Linked DNA regions of Notamacropus eugenii. The protein of the gene in region 1 interacts with the protein of each later gene in a pairwise test. Links are inferred from orthologs where the notes say so. Each region holds a gene or a part of one and is shown on either strand. Other genes may lie near its edges. The genes, in order: CLK3 and OAS2.

The links.
Region 2: the proteins of CLK3 (region 1) and OAS2 interact in binary tests that used the Homo sapiens proteins (3 or more experiments, as listed by UniProt). The two-hybrid records come from large-scale screens. The link is inferred for Notamacropus eugenii from reciprocal best matches to the Homo sapiens genes CLK3 and OAS2.

Annotation. Positions count from the first base shown.
Region 1 is NC_092872.1:241,551,217-241,562,487, reverse strand, and holds the start of CLK3 (dual specificity protein kinase CLK3), read left to right. Parts: upstream 1-6,665; 5' UTR 6,666-6,935; coding exon 6,936-6,959; intron 6,960-7,512; exon of another isoform or gene 7,513-7,618; intron 7,619-11,271. UniProt on the Homo sapiens protein: Dual specificity kinase acting on both serine/threonine and tyrosine-containing substrates. Phosphorylates serine- and arginine-rich (SR) proteins of the spliceosomal complex.
Region 2 is NC_092875.1:33,198,532-33,208,948, forward strand, and holds the start of OAS2 (2'-5'-oligoadenylate synthase 2), read right to left. Parts: upstream 4,442-10,417; 5' UTR 4,323-4,441; coding exon 4,125-4,322; intron 470-4,124; coding exon 256-469; exon of another isoform or gene 187-255; intron 1-186.

The DNA.
Region 1 (11,271 bases):
GAACCAAGTCCTTGGTAAGCCTGAAGGTGATATATATAATTGTGAAACATATAATGTTGTACATTTTAGTTCATCAATCCAACTGCATAAGCACAGAATTTGAGAAAGCAGAAGTGGAGGCTACTCACCAAGAGGTCCTTCCTCTCACATCTCATCTCACATTAGTCAAATACCTTCCCCACTATCTCCCTCCTTTGCCCATCACATAAAAAGGTGACCTCTGTCCTTGTCAAGCACAACCCTTTTACAAGTACCCTCCTGCCTTGTACTACTACACCTATCTCTATAATTCTATAGGAGTCCTTAAACACCTCCCTTCCTTCAGATACTAGTGCCTTCCCTCTGAGATGACCTTCCTTTTACACCATATCTTCCTTTTTATTTCTAGTTGTTTTCTCCCCTGGTAGATTGTGAGGTACCTGAGAGCAAAGACTGATTTTTGCCTTTCTCTTAATCCCCAATTGATGGGCATCCCCTCAGTTTCTAATTCTCTGCCACCACAAAAAGAGCAGCTATGAATACTTTTGTCCTTTCTCTGTTTCTTTGATGCACAGTTAGTAGTCTGTTGGGCATAATTCCAAATTGCTTTCCAGAATGATCAGACTAGTTCACAGATACAACTGTGCATGAGTGTACTAATGCCTCTCTACCATTTACCATTTTCCTTTCCTGTCATCTTAGTTAATCAGATGAGTAAGAGATAGTGCCACAGAGTTGTTTTGATTTGTATTTCTCTAATTTTTAGTAATTTAGAGCATTTTATATAACTGTTGATAGCTTTAATTTCTTCCTCTGAAACCTATGTCTTTATATCCTTTAACCATTTGTTAATTGAGAAATGGCTATTATCCCTGTAAATTTGACTCAATTCCTATATATTCTAGAAACAAGACTTTTACTAGGGAAACCTGTTGCAAAGATTTTTTCTTCCAGCTTCCTGCTTTTCTTCTAATTTAAGTTGCATTGATTTTGTTTATGCAAAAAACATCTTAATTTCATATTATTAAAATTACCTATTTTACCTCCTATGAACCTCTCTATCTCTTCTGGCAACTACTTCTACAGGTCCTTCAACCCCTGTCCCCTCAGTAGCCACAGCTACCGACGACCCAAAAAATAAATTTTCCATGATCAAAGTTGTTGTTACTGTCATGTGATTCAAGATCTGGAATGAGTATGGTTTTTATCTGTGGAAATAATAATGCATTACCATTTGCTTTGTTGCCATACCCTAAGAATCATTAGACCTTTACATATGAAATTTCCCATGCATGCTGTCTCTCTCACAATTTTTTGAAGGAAAGGGCTATCTTGCTTTACTATTTATATTCCTAATGCTTAGCACTTGGCACATTGCTCTTAAAAAGCAATTTTTCACTCCTTCATTCCTTTCTTGCTGTGCTTCTGACTCTATGGACTTCATCACCTGACTCCCTCCCCACCAGCCTTTCAGCTGTCTTGAGTGTGTTGTTTTCTCCCACTAAAATGTAGTCTCCCTGAGGCTAAGGACTATTTTTCTTTTTATTTGAATACTCAGAATTAAGCACAGTGCCTGGCACACAGTGAGTATTTAATAAATGTCTGTTAACTGTTGTTAACCTCATTCATTTGTCAACTGCAACTTACAGTTTTAAAGAGTTGCCTAGACCCTATAACAGCAAGCAAAGTAGGATTTGTTTGTTTGGAGTTGTTTTCCAGGCTCAGGCTAAATTGTGAGCACCTTTGAACTCTAAGAGTTCACAACTGTGCTGAGTCATGTAGGTTTCATGCCTATTGATTCTGAGTCAATCAGGATCCGAGTCTTCATTATATATACTGGGAGGTTAGTATTTTACTGGGGGGGGGGGGATGGAGGATGGATTATGAATTATGAATTATGAGAAGGATCTTGTGATTGCCTGGTCGAGACTCTGAGTGGTTGTATGTTCAGCGCCCCCTCCCGTACTCCCACTGCTTAGATGTAAAAGCTCTCTGGATCTAGGAATGTATGTAAAGCGTATAGCAGTGTTGCTTTGATTCAGGCAGTAAGAGCCCTGTCAGTTTTTATTTCTCTGTATTTTCTCTGTTTGTTGAATAGATAGGAGGTGTGGTAGCTTTGGAAATGTAAAAGATAAAAAGATGTGTCTCGAAGCATTTGGTTGAACTAATTAAAGTGATTGTTGACCCCTCAAATTGCCTTTCCTTTTATAAATGCAGATCTAAGAACCCCCCCACCCCATATGTCAGAGTGCTCACTGATACAGACCCATGGTGTCAAACTCAAATAGAACCAGGGACCACTGATCCATATAGGATCCCTGCAGGCCACATATTGATTTAGCTTTAAAATCTAATATTATTGGTACTTTTTATTTATTGAATATTTCCTAATTACATTTTAATCAGGCTCTAGCCACACTCAGGAGTGTTAGGGCTACCTGGGATCAGTGGCTCACATGTTTGAATACCTCTGGTCTAGAGCATTGGAAAGTTAAGTGACTTTTCCAGAGTTTCTATGCCTTGAACTCAGGTCTTCCTGACTTTGAAGCAAGTGAGTGATCTACTATGCCTTGCTGTCTCTGACATAGTACAAAATAGATACAAGAATACTGGATTTGGAACTAGAGGTCCTGGGTTCAAATCTTGATTCTGTATGACCTTAGGCAAGTCTTTAACTGATGTAAGCCTCAATTCTTTCAGACCAGAAAACTTGTAAGCTCTAAATCTATAATCCTGCGACCCTGTGAGATCCTTTGTGTTAGTGCCAGTCACAGCTTGACAAATTCCACCCCCAGGTTACTATTGTCATCATCTATCTCCACTCATTCTTGTGTCCTGCTGAAGAATGTCACACTACAATGTCCACCAGGTCTGCTAAAAATTTATATTATCTATTCTTTATTGCATCCCACCTGTTGTGATGCAATTTATTTTGTTCTTTCATGACTGCCTCCTTCTAAGGCTCATCGCAGCAACTATTCCAAACTTTTTCTTTTCTCAAATCCATAGTAACCACTCCTCTCTCTCTCTCTCTCTCTCTCTCTCTCTCTCTCTCTCTCTCTCTCTCCCCCCCCCCTTCCTCTCTTCCTCCCCCCCTCCCCAAAGGACCCAACCACTAACCATGACTTCTGTGTTTCCATCTCATCAATGGCTCATAACCCCCTTACCCCATTCTCTATTCTCTCCTGAGAAGTAGAGGTCTCTGCTACTTTGGCTCTTGGTTCCTTCTTTCCAAGTCTCTACTAGGAGCTTGCCACCTTGATCATTCCCTCTCTCTGGTCCATTGGCTCCTTCCCTGCCACCTACAATGATGCCCAGGTCCTCCCATCCCACTCTCACAATTTTGTCACTTGACCCTCTAATTCTCTCAAACTTTCTTCCTCCATCTCTCCTCCCTTCCATAGCCAAGTTCCAGGAAAAGATTGTTACATTCTTTGCTGTAATTACGTTTTTATTTCCCAGTCACTTGTCAAACCCCTTGTAATCTGATTTCAGATCCTGTCACTCAACTAAAAATGTTTCATATTTTATTGATATTTTTTAAAGCATCACTTTTATTTCAAATATGTCCCTTCCTCCCCTCTCCATAAAGATAGGTTGTGCAACAAAGAGTAAAAAAGAAAAAAAAAGTTCATCAAAATTAACCAATACAGGAATCTAGTTTGATAGTAGATATGTTCCATGCCCACAGTCCTTCACCTATCCTAAGGAGAGAGGGAGAAAGGTGTATTTTTTCACAATGTTTTGGAAATGTTATTGATCATAGTATTCCAGAAATCTTTTTGGTTGTTCTCTACACTTGCATGGCTACAGTCATACCAATGATCTTTTAAGCCCCAACTCTAGTTCTCATTTAACTTAACCTCTGCAGCTTTTGACATTGTCAACTCCTTCCCCCTCTTCCTGAATTCTCTCTCCTTTCTTGGCTTTTGGGAGGCTGCTGTATTTGTTTCCTCCTACCTGTCTGAGGGCTCCTTCTTAATCGCCTTTGTTGTACTATATCATCCGTTTGCCAACAACAAGCTTCAGTGTCCTTGAAGGCTCTGCCTTCAGCTCTCTTCTCTACTCTCTGTACACACTCTTCCTCTTCCTCTTGATGATCTCAATCTATTCCCATGGGTTCAATTATTATCTCCATGCAAATAACTCTTGGCCCTCAAGTCTCTCTTGAGCCCCAGTCCCACACTGCCAACTAGAGTGGGGAGGAAGAATGGTATAGTGGAGAGCACATTGACTCTGGAGTTATAAGACGGGTTCAAATCCTTACACCTACTATCTGTGTGACCTTGGTCACCACATTTTAATTCTCTAGGCCTCAGTTTCTTTCATCTCTATAATAAGGGGGTTGGACTAAATGATGTCTAAGGTTCTTTTCAACTGTATATCTATGAACTGTAAGATGACCATAGCTACACTGCCCATCAGTTCAAACTCTATGTGTCTAAAATGGAGCTCATTATAGATTACTCCCCAAACCATCCTTCCTCCAAACTTCCCTGTTTCTGCTAAGGACACCACCAACTATCCAGTCACCCTGTTTTCTATTTCTGTATTCCCAGTCCCAAACATAATGACTGGCAAATATTAGTCACTTAAACACTTGTTGACTTCTTGAACGTTCTGTAGAGTGCCCCCTGGCTCCCCTTCTTGGCATTATGCTTCATATTGCAGGGGTGCTCTAGGCAAGGGGAGCATAATCTACCACCCTTCTCTGTTTGCTCCCTACCCATCAAAATATACTCTGAGTGAGAGAATGAATAAATCAAGACTTGGCAGGTCGCCTCTCAAAGGGTGCTGGCCCATTGTTTCAGCCTTGTTAGCCCCCCAAAGGGAGGGACAAGATCTATTTATAACTCCTAGCTCAGGCTCTCTGGCAAACAGGACCCAAATACAAATTTTTGAATGACAATAAAAATAATGTTATTGCTGAGGGGTGGAATGTTTGTACAGGCCATTTGCATAGGGCCTTACAGCTCACCAAAATTTTCACACCTTCTCTCCTTAGAAAAATAATAGCCCTTCAAGCATTAAAAACTCTGATGACAACGCAGTTCCAGAAAAAGAAGCCTGACATCTTGCCAGAGAAAGGGATGGACTTGAAATATAGAATGAGACATGCATTTTGGACATGGCCCTAATGTGGGAATTTGTTTTGTTTAACTTTGCATATGTATCACAAGCATTTTTTTCTTTATTGTTCAATAGGTAGGGATGGGAGAGAAAATATATTCTTATTAATAAGAAAAAACAAAGGGAGAATGGCCCTTTAAATTAGATCAGGGATTATTATACCCATTTTAAAGATGAGGAAATGGTTTTGACCAAAGATAAGTACGTACTAAGGGGTAGAATAAAGATTCAAATCTAGGTCTTCTGATCTCTAGACCAGAATTTTGTGGATTATTTTTTTCACTAAATCACCCTGATGCAATTCTTCCCTGGGCAGGACTCAGCTCCCTCAGAAAGACAGCATGTCAGGGTGTCAGAGCACAGGAAAATACCTGGTACCTGGAGATGGAAGCCTTTCTGCAGTTCTTACAGCCGGTTGAGGACGGTGTTTCCTCCAGAAGACCCTCCCTCTCTAGATGCTTAGTGACAGTTCCCCATTGGCACAATCCCTAGTCACTGTGATATGTGAAGAATCAGCAGGAGTTGCTGCATCATCTTAGCAAAGTGAAGCCCATGCAAGAGTATAAAACAAGGGTCATGGGAAGAAATGACTCCACAACTGAAGGGGTCAGGAAAAAGGAAGGGGACATTTGGGCTGATTGCTAAAGGATACAAAGGATTCCAAGAGACAGAGATGAGAGCAGATTGCCTCTGCAAAGGCTTGGAGATGGGAGATACACACAGGCACTCATCTACTCACACATACAGGATGATGAGATACAGGCTGGTGACTCAGAGGACAGAATAATCACCCAGGGCTTGGCTAGTATTGCATGTGTTTTCAAAAGCCCTGGCATTCTGAAGCCTATTTGAGGAGTCAGTCAGACAAAGAACCCCATTTCTCAGACAGCAGCTGAGGTTCCATGAAGGGGTGACTGGCTCCAGCTGGCACACAGCTAGCTGCTCTGGCAGTGGTAAGAGGCCTTTGGGTTTCGTGGCAGAGGAAAGGGGGCTTAGCTTCTTGGGGCCAAGGCTTTACATCAGCCTCAAGCCTAGAGCAGTTTCTAACATTTCTTTTCTCCTTTCACCTCCTCTTCTGGACCAGGGGAAACATCCTTCCTCCTTTCTCCCCACCCCGATCAGTTCCAGATGGGGGCACCTGGCAAGGTTGGTGTTTCTCTCCTTTCTTATGCTCAGCCACCACTGTGGACAAGGTGGTTGGGGCTTCTTGGCCTGAGTCCTTCAGGATGAGAAGGACTAACAAGGAGAGAGGGGCTAATTCCTACTGGTAGGAAAATGCAGCATCACAAAGTGGCCCCGTGTAATCAGTGTATGGAGTGGGTTATGCCAAGGCTGTGGGTGAACCGGACAGGCTGGCACATGAGGGCGTTCTGCTCAGCTAGAGATTAACTATAGAGATCTTTGTTGAAATCCAGGTGCTTTCTTTTATCTGCTTCAAGTATTTGGTGAGAGGTAGTGGTTGTGCTGTGGGAAGAGCCATTAGGCTTGGAGTCAGGACTGAGTGGTGGCAACTGTGTAGCTCGGGGCAAAGTTCTGGGCCCCGTTTCCACCTCCTTGAGGGGTTGGTCTAGACTAGCTTCCTGTGTGGGGCTAGGATGGGTCTTGGGGAGCCTTTAGTTAGCGAGGCCACTTGTTTCCCCAAGTCTTCAGGGCCGGACAGAGAGCCGAACTGGCTTCCTCTTCTGGTCAGTCTGGAGAGGTCCCCGAACGGCGGCCCCGAGGCAGCCTTACCTAGCAGGCTTAAGAGTCAGAGGCTTGGCAGAAGCACAGGCAGGTGCCCAGGGCTCCCCAATTGTCTCCGTGGGTGCAGCCAGCTGCCCTGAGAGATGGTGAGCTCCCCATCCTTGCAGGTATTCAACCAGGAGACTGACGACCCAAGAAGGGACTGATTCCTTTTAAACTAGTAAGGAGGTGGCTTCGGAAGCCTCTTGGGGGGTCTTTGTGTGGCAGGGCAGGGAAGGGCTCCAATCGCTATGAGTCACACACAACCCAACCAGGTCTGGGGGGTGTCTGGGGGGATCCTGCAGGTGGGGATCGCAGTCCCGCTCAGGTATGTCGCCACGTGGGGAGGGGAGGGCCACGGAGGTGGGCCCAGGAGCGGACGTTTGGGGAGCCGGGCCGCCGGAGGACCGGCCAGTCCTCCAGGAACAACGAATGCCAGCCTAGAGCGGCGGCGAAGAAGCGCTGCGGAGCCACTCTAGGGGCGGGGGCGGGGGCGGGGAGGAGGCGAGAGGGGGTGTGTACCGGGCCGTGGCGTCGGCACGCAGGGCGGGCCAGGAAATTAGAGGGCGGGGCCTCGGGGGCCCGAACGAAGGGACGGAGGGGGCGGGGCCTCGGCGGCACGCAGGGCCCGGCGGGGCGGGGCCGCAGCTGCGGCGGGGGGAGGGGAGCCCAGGGCAGGGGAGGGGCGGGGCCGCCGCGGGCGGAGGCCGCAGCCCGGAGCCGGAAGCGGAAGAGGCGCCAGGAGCTGGGAGCGGGGCCTAGCTGGAGCTGGAGCGCCCGGGAGACGGTGAGAGCACCCCCCTCCCGCCGTCATCGGCATCCCCTTCCCCTCCTCCGCCCTTCCCTCCGGCCTGGTGCGTGGGTTGCGAGCGGGGATGGCGGGAGGCCGCGGCTCCTCCCCCTTTGGGCGCCCTCCCTTACTCCTGACCTCTCACCCCTGACCCCGCCAACCCCTATTGGGCCCTCCGACCCCACCTCGACACTACCCTCCCGAGGACCTCGGCTCGGGCCTGGGGGCGGCGGGAGACCACGACCTTTAAAGCCCTCCCGCGCCCTAAAAGTCCCACCCTCTGGAAGTCGCCTTCCGTTCTTAAAAGTCCTCCCTCCGCTGCCCGTCACCCCCATTCCCTTCTCCACCCAAATCCGCCCCGCTATTAAAGTCGCCCCCCGCCCTCAAGATTCTCCCCCGCCCTTACTCCCCCACTCCCTGACCCCGTCAGGCTTCCACCTTAGACTCCCCCATAACATTTGCCGTTAACTCCTTCCTTTCTCCCCCTTAAATCCCCCCAGGCTCTTAAAAGCCCCCCGCCCTAAATGGCCAAGCCCCCCTGCTAAAACTCTTAAAATTAATTCCCCCCGTGTCTCCCCCCATGGACATGCCCAAGGTGGCTCCAGCTGAAGTCTCCCCTCCCCCATTGTGGATGCCCTAAACCCGGTCCACTTATCTTTGAAAATCTCCGTTTTCTCCTAAAATCCCCACCCTCTTCTGCCCCTAATCCTTCCTCCCCCTCCTAAAATCCGAGCTCCGTCCGGATCAATGCGGGGCCTCGCCTCCCTGCCCCCCATCCCCCCCACCTCCGTCACCGCCCCCCCCCACCCTTCCCAGATGGGCCACCCGGGCTAAAATGCCCCGCCCCTTTGCCAATATCGCGGCCCCTGGAATCCCACCCACTAGATACATTTCACCCTGGAAATACAATTATACCTTCCCTCTTCCTTCCGAAATTAACGTGTGGGAAAGATCCGCGCTCCCCAGTGCCCCTTTCCTCAGGCTGGCCCCCCCACCCAAGTTGTTAGCCTGCTGAGCCCACTGCCAGGTGTGCCCGGGGCTCCGGCAGATGTTTGGCTTGGTCTCCCTTATGCCGCCACGCCCACCCCCTTGCTCTGGCCTGGTACCGTATGGCAGCCCGTGGAAACTGAGACTGTGGGTTGGGGGGCGGGGTGACCCACAGAAAGATATGCTGCAGAACCCCGGTGAAGGTATCTCAGCTATTCCAGGAAAGCAAGGCTGGGGAGTCCCCAAAGTAAGATAAGTATTCACAGCTGGGCCCCAGCTGGGTCCTGGGCTGAGGAAAAGAGCAGTGTTTTTGTTGTGATAATTCCAGTCCTGAAAATGAAAGAGATACTTGAGGCTGCAGCCCGGGACTTGAACCTGGTGTTTTCTTACTTGGGGTATGAACACCTCATATCTTTTGCTTTGCCGCTTTTCTCACCTTTGACTATGTGGTTTGACCTCCCCCTCACTCAGCCTGGGTAGAGCAGAACTGGGGTAGGACTTTATAGAGACAACCCCTTTGGCAAAGCAGAATTGGCTGCCTTTCATCTTCCTTCCTCTGGCCCGTTTTCCAGTGCCCTTGAAAAGAAAAATGTTCAACCTCTGTGGTGTGGATTTGAGAGATGGGGGGAGATGAAGTGCCAGCAGTAGTGGCACCAGCAGCCCTCCAGCATAACTGTGGGGATCCTGGGGGAGGGGAGAGGGCAGGTGCTAGCCGTGGCTCAGCTAGATGTTCTCGTTGGCCCAGTTTTCCTAATGCCAGCAACATGTGAAAACTGACAAGAAGGCTGTGCCCTGAGTACCTCTGAACAGACAGCTGGCATCTTAACAGCGTGGCATCTGGACTTGGTTTGACTTTTCCCATTCCTCAGCATGCGGTAGGAAAACTAGAGCAGGTTTGGAAGTACTTTTAAAAGCTGTTCTATTCCATAGCTCACCTCAGAAACTTGGTATTTTAATCTGTTGGGCCCTCCTGGGGTGTTAATGAGTCTGAGAAATGGGCCTTAAGGCTAGCAGACTTTTGGAGGGAGGTGAACCTGGAAATCTTTCATGTCAGATCGAGCCATGGGCAGCTTTCCACCCACTTTTTTGGAAGTGAGTTTTAAAATTCTGTATTCCTCTGAATAAGACTACCCCTAACCAGGTTTTTACCTCTAAAATGAAATCTCTTCGAAAGGAATATACATACACACACACAAACTCACATACTCTCTGTGTGTATACACATATATATGTATGATTATTTTTCATTATTAATTCCTTTTGGATGCTAAGATTTAAGGAGACTTTTGGGTGTGTGTTGCCAAAGGGAGGCTAACAGGCTCTGTATGCTGTTGCCATATGGTTTCTCTCTGTCTGCTTTTCTGTTCTGGGTCATTTGAGTTCCATAGAGCCACTTTGGCAGTTGAAACCCAGCAGCCTGGGTTTTAGTGGGCAGCTGAGAGAGAGATAGCCCTATCTTTGTGGAGGTAGGATCTCCTCCTGCCTAAGCCACCCTCCCTCCCAGTGGTCCTGCCCAGCCTGGGCAGTGAGGAGAAGGCAAAGAGAGTCGTTGGGCTTTGCAGTAAGATTACCTCTCTAACGTAAGGGCTGGCCCGCAGGTAGGAACTTTCAAGGGATTCCACCACCTTACCAGTTTCAGGGGCATCCACTGCAGACTCTTCTAGCTCTTAATACCATCTGAGAGACCAGGAAGAGTTTAACTATGTGTATGGAACTAAGAATATTATTATAACCTACATAGGTTTGTTATAAACTAGATTTGGGGGGAAACCTAGCAGTGTTATTGGAATCCATTCTGTACTTAGGAATAGAGCTGGCCATTGATTTAATGGACAGCAGGATGTCATTTTGGACTGTACAAGACATTTCTCTAAAAACTCCATCTAGGACTTGGAGTCAAGAAGACCAGAATTCAAACTCTTGTCTCAGTCACTATGTGTGACCTTGGTGAGGCATTTCACCTCAGCCTTAGTTTCCTCATCAGTAAGATTGGGATAATAATAGCATTTACCTCCCAGAGTTGAGGATAAAATGAGAAAATGTGTAAAGCACTTTGTAAACCTTAAAGAGTTATATAAATACAAATTACATCACCATTATCATAATCATTATTCCTGGACTCCTCTGATATCTTGCTATGGCCTGGAGGTGAACCAGGTCCTTCAAAACTGTGCTCATGAAACTCCAACTCTGGCCACGTCTTTCTAAGTTGAAGAGTCTTCAAGGACAAGGCCAGGGACAGACTTTATGTCAGAGGACCAGTCTAGTTAAATGTGAAGAGGCTTGTCACTGGGGTAGCCATAGGATGGCAAATATTCTTTGGCACCTTGCCAATAGGGGTTTTGCTCAGTATAAATAATCATAAGATTACCATATCAATGAAACCAGATTTTTAAAAGCACAAAAGAAACACTCTACAGTCTACCGGGACATGAATGAGGGGATGATCTTAGAGGCTCAGATAGTAATCTTTAGCCTAAAGCAGATTCCTAAATCATTTCAAATCCTGTGATTCAGAATGAGAACCTGCGTTAAAATGTCAAATTGAATCAGGCCTGGCCCCTACTCTGGCCACAGTGAAGCATTCTTGGTGGCTATTAGATACATATTTTTATTCCCTAGCTTGGTTGCTTAGCCTTGGGGATAATTACAGGAAACCAACA
Region 2 (10,417 bases), on another chromosome or scaffold:
ACAAATATTAAATTATTTTTATAAGAAATAAAAAGGATTCTAATACTGGCTCTACAAACAGGTCATTGTGTGACCTTGGACAAGCACGCTACCTCTCAACTTCAGTTTTCTCATCTGTAAAATGGAGAGAATGATCCTTTACTCTCTTGGGTATCCTCCACTAAAGACCCATCTTTATTCTTTCAGTGGCCATCTTATTACCAAAGTCAATGCCTTCTATCACCTGCTGACATGGTATCTGTCCAGGGTACTTACCCAAGACACTGAAGATGGGAAGCACATCAAAGGTAATGCATAGGTCAGACTCGGTCAGTATCAACTGGTGCTTATCCTCTACTACCTTGACTTTCCCCATGGGTGCCAGCAGCTTCAGCTTTATCAGGTCTCCCTCAAATCGTTCTTTGTGGAAGATGACAAGGGTGCCATCAGAGTGGCCTTTGAGAACAGTGTCTCTGCCATAGGACCCACCCTATGAGAGAAAAGAAAATGTGTGGTGGGACCAAAAGTGAGAGGGATCTCCATCACTTATGAGACAGTCAGTGGGAGGAGACTCCAAGCAAGAAGAACCAGCCAGTCCAGCTCTCTTTGGCTTCTCCAACACCAGAATTTTGAAATCCTTCTCTATAGTCCCAGCTCCCTTTGATTGTCCTAGAAAACAAATATTAGTAATAGCTCATGTTTCTAAAGGTTCTTTGGTTTCTGAGGGATTTAAAGACAAACACTGAACAGTCCCTGACCCTCAAAAGGCTTCTACTCTATTCAACATCTTGGGGCGGGGGGAGAAAACAAGCATTTATTAAATACCTACTATGTACCAAGCACTTTAAAAATATTTCATTTGATCCTCACGATAACTCAGCTGTTATTATTTCCTCATTTTATCTTAAGCTGAGGCAGACAGAGAATAAACTGGTAAATGTCTAAGACTGGATTTGAACTCAGGTCTTCCTGATTCCAGGCCCAGTACTCTATCCACTGAGTCACCTAGCTGCCCAAGGAAGATGGGGGTTCTAAGAGATGGTGATGAGGAGGGAATGCACCCCATGGTAACCACTATGTAGAGTCTACAGAACAGTTTAGTTGGAGCACGGAATATGTGAAGGGGACCAAAGGGGAATGAATTTGGAGGAATCAGAGCCTGGAGCTCACTAAATGCAAGGCTGAAGAGTTTGGATTTTTTCCTGGAGAAGAGGGAGCCATTGAAGATTTTTAGGGAAAGGAGTGATATGAACCACCATAGAGCTTAGGATCTTTTGTCAGTTTTGTGAAGAACACAACACAAGGAGAAGGAGAAAGATTGATTGGCAGTGGGAAGATCACATGGAAGATGATTTCAGGCATCCAGGTGAGGTGATAGGGGCCTGGTCTGGGGTATGAGAAGCAAGAAGGGACTGTGACAATGTAATGATGGGAACTGTGATGATGGAGCTGACAAGACTTGGCAGCTGACTGGCTGGGCAGAGTGATGAAGAGGAAAGAACTGTGATGTGGGGGATGGTGGAGACTTCAACAGTAACAAGAAGGTTCAGAGGAGGAATTTCTGGTTTAGAGGAAAAGATAATGAGCTCTCTTTTGAATTGGATTAAATCTGAGTTGCTGACCAGACATCCAGGCAAAGTCTAGTGAGGTCAGAAATGTAAGGATAAAGGACCTCCATGACTGCTGTCTCTCTTACCTCCCCATCCATCCCAGCTTTCTCTCATAGTGTTTTGTTCTGAATTAGATGTAGGAGAAAATCTGTGTGCGTTTATCCTTCATTGCTGAAGAAGACCATGACATCAGAGAAATAATAACATGACTTGCACTTTGTTTTGAGTGAGGGAGGGCTGTGCAGGTTACCAGCCTCACTTCTCCTCCAGAGCCATCTGAATCCAGTGACCTGTCTGGAGATGACCCAGGATGAGGGAATTGGGGTTAAGTGACTTGCCCAAGGTCACACAGCTAGTGAGTGTCAAGTGTCTGAGATTTGAACTCAGATCCTCCTGACTCTTGCACTGGTGCTCTATTCACTGCACCACCTAGCTGCCCCTGGGGAAAATCTACCCCTTAGTTCAGCCAAGAAAAGGCAGGAAGATTTCAAAAGTAGATTTGCTAGGAAACAAAGGGATGATCAAAACACAATTTTTAAAAATCCCCAAAGCAGTCTACTGAGCATCTTATCCCAAGGGCACTAATAGAGCCATCAGTCCACACTCCTGTTCATCTCCTAAGAGAAGAATATTTAGGATAGGCTGTGCTCTGCGTGAGTCCTTGGGGTGGGGATGGGGGGGCACAGTTTCCCTAAAGTTTCTTCCAGCTCTGACATTCCACAGAACTATGAAATTCCCTTTCTGGTCTCCCACTCTATTTCTCTTTCCTAAGTTACAGAGTGAAACCCTACCCTACAATCATCCAATACTGATTAGGAGGCAAGGAGCATCCATGGCACATGTTCTGTGCCCACTGTTGGCAACAGCACCTAGATCTGATCAGTTACAGCTCTGGGCTGGCAGCCTCATTCATCGCAGCCTCCATAAATGCTTGACTGAGGCTGCCTAAATAAGACTACAGGAAAAAAGCCTCTAAGAACAAAAATTGTGGCTGGACACCTTGTTTTTGCCTCTATGGAGAGCATACATGACCAGCACAGGTTAAGGGACAATTAGAATGGTCGGTCCTGTAGAGGTTGTGGGTCCAGAGGATCAGGGACCAAGATTCTTGTGTGCAATGAGTCCAGAAGGTGAAGATAAGGATGGAGAGAATTCCAGGAATGGGGGACAGTCAGTGAAAATGCTTGGAGCTGGGAGATGGATTGTCTTGTAAGAGGCCAGCGCGGCTGGATTGTATCAAACATAGTGGGGAGCAAGACCAGAAAGGTGTGTGGGTGGGGCTTTGAATGCCAAACAGAAGATTTTGCATTTGATCCTAGAGGTGAGAGAAAGTTTACTGAAGAGTGGGAGGGACATGGTCAGACCTGAGCTTTGGGGGAAGATCAATTTGACAGCTGAATGGATTATGGTGGGGAACCACTTGATGCAGAGAGGCCAAACAGAAGGTTATTGTAACCTACTCTTCATCTTTGTGGTCCCCATGTGACCCTCCCTCCTCACCTTTCCTCTGAAATGTTGCTCTAGTCTCACTCAATCCTCTATCCTTTCCAATCCCTGCCCCCCAACTTCCAAAGTAATATTCCTTAAACACAGATCTGATCATATCACTTCCTGTTCAATAAACCCCAGTAGCTCCCTATTACCTCTAGGATCAAGTACAAATTCTGGCATTTAAAGCTCTTTATAACTTGGTTCTAACCTACCTTTTGAGATTGATTATACATAATTCCCCTCTAAGCACTTTTTGGTCCAGTAAAACTGACTTTCCTGCTGTTCCTCATTTAGTCTCCCACCTCTGTTTTTGCACGGGCTGTCCCTCATGCCTGGAGCACCCTCCCTCCTCACCTCCACCTCTGAGAATCCTTGTTTTCCTCAAAGATCAGATTAAATTCCACCTTCTACAGTCTACGCAGCCTTTCCTGCTCCCCAGGTGTGAGGACCTCTACCACTGCAAATCCCCACCCCAAATTATTTTGCATATTTTGCATATATTTATTTGTACATGTTTTCTCTTCAGAAAATGTAAGCTTCTGTAGGGATGGGATTGTATTTTTTTTTTTTTGTAGCCTTAGAACAGTACCTGGTACATAGTAGTGAGTACTCGATAAAAACTTGTTGTCTTGATTGATTTTCTGCCCCTTTTTTCTTTCCCCTCCTTTCCTCTTTCCCCATTTTCTCCTTTCCTCTCCCATCTCTCCTCCTTTCTCATCCCATCTCTCTTCCCTTTCATTTCTTCCTTCCCTCATCCCTCATTTCCCTCTCCCCTCCTCTTTCTTCTTTCTTCTTCCCTGCCCTTTTCCTCTTCACCTTCCTTTTCTCCTTTCCCTTCCCATCTCCTCATTCCCCATTCTTTTCCTCTCCCTCTTTTCCATTTTCTCTTTTCTACCCTCCTCTCTCCCTCCTTTTTCCTTTTTTTCCTGCCCTTCCCCCCCTCTCCTCCTTCCTTTTCTTCTCTCTCCCCTCCCCCATCATTTTCCTCTCTCCCTTCTCTTTTCCCTTCATCCCGCCTTTCCCCCTCTCCCTCCCACTGCTTACCACAGCTATACCCTTCACTTGAATGGGAGGATCCTGTTTCTCCAAGAACTCACAGATGTCCTCGATACTTTTGTCAATCTGCTGCAGATGCTTTTCTTGGGGCTGTAGCTCATTCTGGATGAATCGATCTAGATTCTCAGCACGCTCAAAGTAAAGTGCTGGCTGATCGTACCACCAGCTCCACAAAGATTTTAACATTATCCCTCCTTCAAAGTATTAACTTTACAGGTAAGCTAGCTTGTGGACAAGTCCTCTGGCAGAGGCTTACTCGGAGCAGAAGGAAGAAATGAAATGGTTTCATTTAGGTTTCAGTTTCTGTCTGCCATTCCCGCCCCCTCCCGCCCCTTTCCCCGGCTTCTGCACTTCTGATTAGGCTTTGGACTCTTGTATAAACTTTCTCCTCCCAATCTCTGCTTATATCTCAGCATTCTGTCTGGATATCTGCTTAACTTCCTTTTAAAAAGATGCTGCTAGAGACAGAATCAGTAGCAGTCTGTCAGAGCTTAGAGGGAGTGTTTTAAGAGCTTGGAGGACCCTGACCTCTGTTTCTTTCATAAGACCCTCCAACTCTCAACTCCAGGCATTTTCATTGGCGTAGCATGCTCTCCCTTCTCATCTCCACTTCCTGACTTCCCAGCTAAAATTCCACCTCCTACAAGAAGCCTTAGAACAAGGAGTGTTAGAGCTGGGAGGGGCCTTAGAACAGGAGATGTCAGAGCTGGGAGAGATTTCAGATGTCAAATCTAGACTCTAACTTCCTAATTTCATAGAGGATGTGAGCAGAAGAGGGTCTTTTTTCCCTTTGGGAAAGTTCTAGGTCCTTTGTTGTGTATCACCTGAAAGTGTATTCTTCCCTCCCTGGTCGGTTTCTGAGTTTCACTGAGACATGCCCAAGTATAGTATAAAGAGCCTTCAGTTTGGAGGACCTGGATTGGGGTGTTCACAAAGTCATAGACTCTCAGAGTGGGAAGGATCCTCAGGGCATTTGTCTAAGCTGTAGATACACATGGGGCTTCCTGGGGAACATCCTGATAGTCAATTATCCAGCCTCTGCCAGAAGAACTTCAGGATGAGGAAATAACTCCCTAAAAAAAGCCCTTATTTATGCAACTTATGTACAGAGTACATCATGCAAATGGATAGGGTGGGCAAACCAAAAGCTGGAATTAAGGTTGCCAGGAGAAATATTAACAGTCTCAGTATGCAGATGATACCACTCCAATGGCAGAAAGTGAAGAATTAAGAAGTTTCTTGATGACATGAAAAAGGAGAGTGTAAAAACTGGCTTGAAGCTTAATATTCAAAAAAAAGAAAAAACAAGAAGAAACCAGATCTTGACAACTGGCCTCTGAATTGTTGTTATTTTTCATTTTCTGTCCTCTCTGACTCTCTTGGACCCCATTTGGGCTTCTCTTGGCAAAAATACTGGAGTGGTTTGCCATTTCCTTCTCCAGCTCATTTTACAGATGAGCAAATTGAGGCAAACAAGATCAGCGTCAGACAGCTAGTAAGTGTCTAAGGTCAGATTTGAACTCGTGAAGATGAATCTTCCTGGCTCTAGGCTATACACTATGGTGCCACCTAGCTGGCCCCTGGTTGTTAAATAAGGTGTAAAATGGAAACATGTTTGAAAAAGTGTGTGCTGTTGTTGAGAGATTTCCACCACCATAGGATAGAGGGTAGAATGAGATAAAAGAGAGATCCAGAGAAAATATTCTAGGGGTACTTGAGATAGCTAGATGGTACAGTGGATAGATCGCTTTCTCAGACATTTAATCACTTGCCCTCTAACTGCCTTAGTTTTCTCATTTGTAGAATGTGAATAATAAAAAGTGCCGATTCCCCTGCCCAAGGTTGTTAAAAGGATAAAATGAGAATATTTGTAAAGGGCTCTACAAATCTTAAAGTGTTATATAAATGCTAGCCATGATTATTTGAGAAAAGAGAAAAGACTTTCAGCTGAGGGTTCAAGGAAGGGAGGCTAACTGGAGGAGGTGTCATACCTGACTTTCCTGCTTTGGGTATAGAGCTGAACAGTTTGTTCTGGATATCTCTGAGACGCTAGGATTTTGAGCTTCCTTGAAGGAAGATGAGGATTCTGGAAGGTAGAGGTGAGGAGGGAGTCTATTCCAGACCTAGGGTTAGGCCTGTGTCAATGCATGGAGGTAACAGTGTATTGAGTTTAGGGTAGAGGTAGTAGACCAGTCTTACTATAGTACTTACCTGGAGTACTTGAAGCAGAGTAATGAACAATCAGACCAGAAAGGTTGGCTGTAATCAGTTAATGTAGGGTTTTAAATAGCAAACAGGGGAGTTTGTAATTCATTCTCTTTTTTTAAAAAAACAAACTTTTAAAAATGAAAGAAATCAATTAACAACTAATCAATGAACAAAAATCAATGAACAATTTTTTCTTGTTTCCCATTTCTCATGCTCCAATTGAAAAAATAAAAAGCAGAAAACAAAACCCTTGTAACAAATACACCTAACCAAGCAAAATAATTTCCTGTATTGCTATGTCAAAGAATGTACATCTCTGTCCGCATCTTGTATCCATCCATATCAGGAAAGTGGTAGCCAGCCTGCTTTGCACTGATCCACTGCATCGATCACAGTTCTCAAGTCTTCTAAAGTTGTTTGCTTCTGAAATATTATTATTGTATCGATTCAACTTTGTAATTAATCCTAAGGGCAATAGGGAATGATTAGCATTTCTTGAATGGAGAGGTGACATGACTGGGTTGATGCTTTAAGGAGATTATTCTGGTGGTTATGGGGAAGAAAGATTGACAAGGGAGAGACTGGAAACAGCAACTGTTTTAATAGTTCCAACCAAAGGTGCTAAGAGTCTGAAATAGTGGGGAGAAGGGATTGAGAAGTGGAGGCCATGAGTATAGACTCTTTTTTCCCATAGGATTTTGATTATGATATGAAATCTGTTGTAGAGGTAGAATCTGTGACTTTGACATTTATTGGATATGGAGAGGAAGATGATGTTGAGTTTGGGAACCTGGGTAACTGGAAGAATGATGGTACACTTGACATAAAGAGGAAAATTTGGAGGAGAGGTGGTGGATTTCATCAAATAATATATTCCATTTTGGCCATGGTGTGTTTGAGATGCCTAAGGATCATTCAGTTGGTGGTGCCTAAGATGTACACACACACACACGCACATACACACACCTCTATCTATCTATCCATTCATCTATAAATATACATATATACAAAATATGCATATCTAAACACCTGTATCACACACACACACACACACACACACACACACACATATATATATATACACACACATACACATGCACTCCTCTGGGAGTTACCTTTATATAACAGATAATGATTGAACCCATGGAAGTTAATGGGATCATCATGGAAGAGACTATATAGAGAGAGGAGAAGGGGCTCTAGAACAGAGGTGATTTTCTAGGAAGGAAACTCCAGTTCACCAGGTAGGTAGGAAGAGAACCAGTAGAGAAACTATGTCATGAAAAACCATGAAGAAGTGGGCAATTAACAAGGTTAGGAGATCAACAGTGTCAGACACTGCAGATAAATCAATAAGTATGATGACTAGAAATGATCGTTGATTTAATATCTATATTCTAGGAGATCACTGGCACCCTTTGAGGTAACAGTTTGCAAGAGGTTGAGAAAGTAGAGGCAGTGAATGTAAACTATATTTTCTAGGATTTTAGTTGTGAAAGGGAAGAAAAATCTAGGATGACCAGTTGAGAAGATGGTAGAGGGAAGTTGTTTGCTTTTTTTTTTTTAAAGAAAAAGAAGGACTACACATGTTTTTATGTGGCAAGAAGGGAGCCAATAGATTATGAGGGAAGGAGGAAGAGGAGGGGAGGGAGAAAGAAAGAGAGAGAGACAGAGAGAGGGAGAGATGGACAGAGAAAGGAGGGAGGGACAGACAGAGAAAGGAAGAAGAAAAAGGAGAAGGAGAAGGAGAAAAAGAAGGAGAAGAAGGGGAGAGAATGAGAAGGGGGAGAGAGAGAAACAGACAGTGAAAGGGAGAGAAAAATTCAGAGACAGAGGAAAACAGAGAAACAGAGAATGACAGGTTTTCAAAGGACTTGAATGTCATGTAACACTGAGTTTTTGAAAGGCTAGTATGGACTTGATGTTTCTTTCATTGGCCATAGGGAAGAAAAGATAAGAAAGAGGCAATTAGCACTCTGAGGTTTTGAGCATTAGGGAATGGGAGATGGGTGGTGTTCTTGGCAAAATCTTTTGCGAGGAAAGGATGTAGGAAGAAAATGATATGAGCTTGGGCCAGTCACCTTTGGACTTCAGTTTCCTTATGATCTCCAAGGTTCCTTTCAGTTCTAGAATTCTAATGCCATATATTTCATCCTAGGAGTTGTGGAAAGACAGGTACACCACTACATTGTTGGTGGAGCAATATATTGGCATAATCATTCTAGAATGTAATTTGGAAGTATGCAAAGAAAGTAACTAAGATGTCCATCCCTTTTCACCCATAGACTCTTCTGCTAGGCAAATATCCAAAGGACGTCACTAAGAAGAAGAAAGTCTCCTATGATCCAAAATATTTTTAGAAGCTCTTTTTATGGTGGCAAAAAACTGGAAACACAGCAGATGCCCACTGATTAGGGAGTGGCCAAACAAACATGGTACATTATTTTAATGGCTTTTAAGAAACAAACATAGAGAGAAGCACGAAAAGACCTTTACAAACTGGTAAAAAGTGAAGACAGCAAAGCCAGAAAATCAAAATACACAATGAAGGCAACAATGTAACTAGAAAGAAAAATGGCCACAAAAAAAAGCAATAAATAAGTTAAAAAGTTGCAAAATGACTAAGATCAAGTTAGGTCCCAAAGGCAAGATGAGAAGACACTTTCCCCTGCTCCTTTACAGAGGTCAGTCCATACATGTGCAATGTTGCATACAAGGCCGGATTTTTCTGATATGTTACTAAGTTTTTTTCATTTTATTCTCTTCCTTGTTAAAACACTCTTTATCCTAAGGAGCTTTTCTCTGGGGAGGGAAAAGTAGAGATATAGGGGAAATCTAGGTCATGTAAATACAAAAGATAGTAAAAATCCATTTCCTGCTTCCTTTTCTTCTTCTTTCATTCCCTCCCTCCTTCTCTTCCTTCTTTGTTTCCCTCCCTTCCTCCTTGCTTCCCTTTCTTCCTTCTTTCCTCCTTTCCTCCCTCTCTTCCTCCTCTTCCTTTCTTAAAATAAAACAACTTTGCTGTAATCAGTGACCTCTGGGAGGGGAGGAGAAGGGATAAAATGGGAAATCTGGTCAACATAAAAGCAAAGCATCAATAAAATTCATTTATTTTACAGATTCCCTTCTACTTCTAACATTCTATATTCTAAGGGCCCTCTTAGCTCTGATATGCTGTGACGTTACTCTAGCTCTTCAAGGTTTGCAAAGCCCTTTACAGATATTATCTCATTTGCACTTCACAACAGCACTGTGAGATACATGCTTTTTGTAGTTGTTCAGTTGTTTCAGTTGCATCCAATTCTCCATGACCCCATTTGGGATTTCCTTGGTAGAGATAATGGAATGGTTTTCTATTTCCTTCTCCAGCTCATTTTAAAGATGAGGAAACTGAGGCAAACGAGTGAAGTGACTTGCCCAGAGTCACATGGCTAGCATCTGAGGCTGGATTTGAACACAGATCTTCCTGACTGTAGATCCTAAATGCACTATATCCACTATATCACCTAGCTTCCCAAGATAAGTGCTACAAGCGTTATTGTGTCCCCTATTTTACAAACAGGGAAACTGAATCTCTGAAAAATGAAATGACTTATTAATGATTGTGTAGCTAGTGAAAAGATCAGAGGAAGGACTTGAACCCAAGTCTTTGTGTCTACAAGTCTGGTATTTTATGATTCAGCTTTGAACATACTGAGTTCAAGGTACTGATAGATCAGCCAGGTGAAGTTGAGGACAGAGATCATGGCTGGAGTTGGGTAGTTTGGTGTCAAGGAATGAACTCTTTAAAGAACACAACATACAGAAGAAAATACAGGACAGACAATTGAAGCATAGGTAAGGACCATCATTAAAGGGTGAGAGATGGCTGGCAACAGTGCTCAAAGAGAGAATAAGCCATAGATAAGACAATTCTTGGGGAAAGTGTAGAGGTGGATAGGGCTCGTGTTTTATATGCAGAAGAGAATCCTTCAAGGAAGTCAATGCACACACATCTGGCAGATGATCTTGCATCTCAGCTTTGCAGAAAGGATGATAACCAGGTTGTCCACATAATGAACAATTTGGGGTTC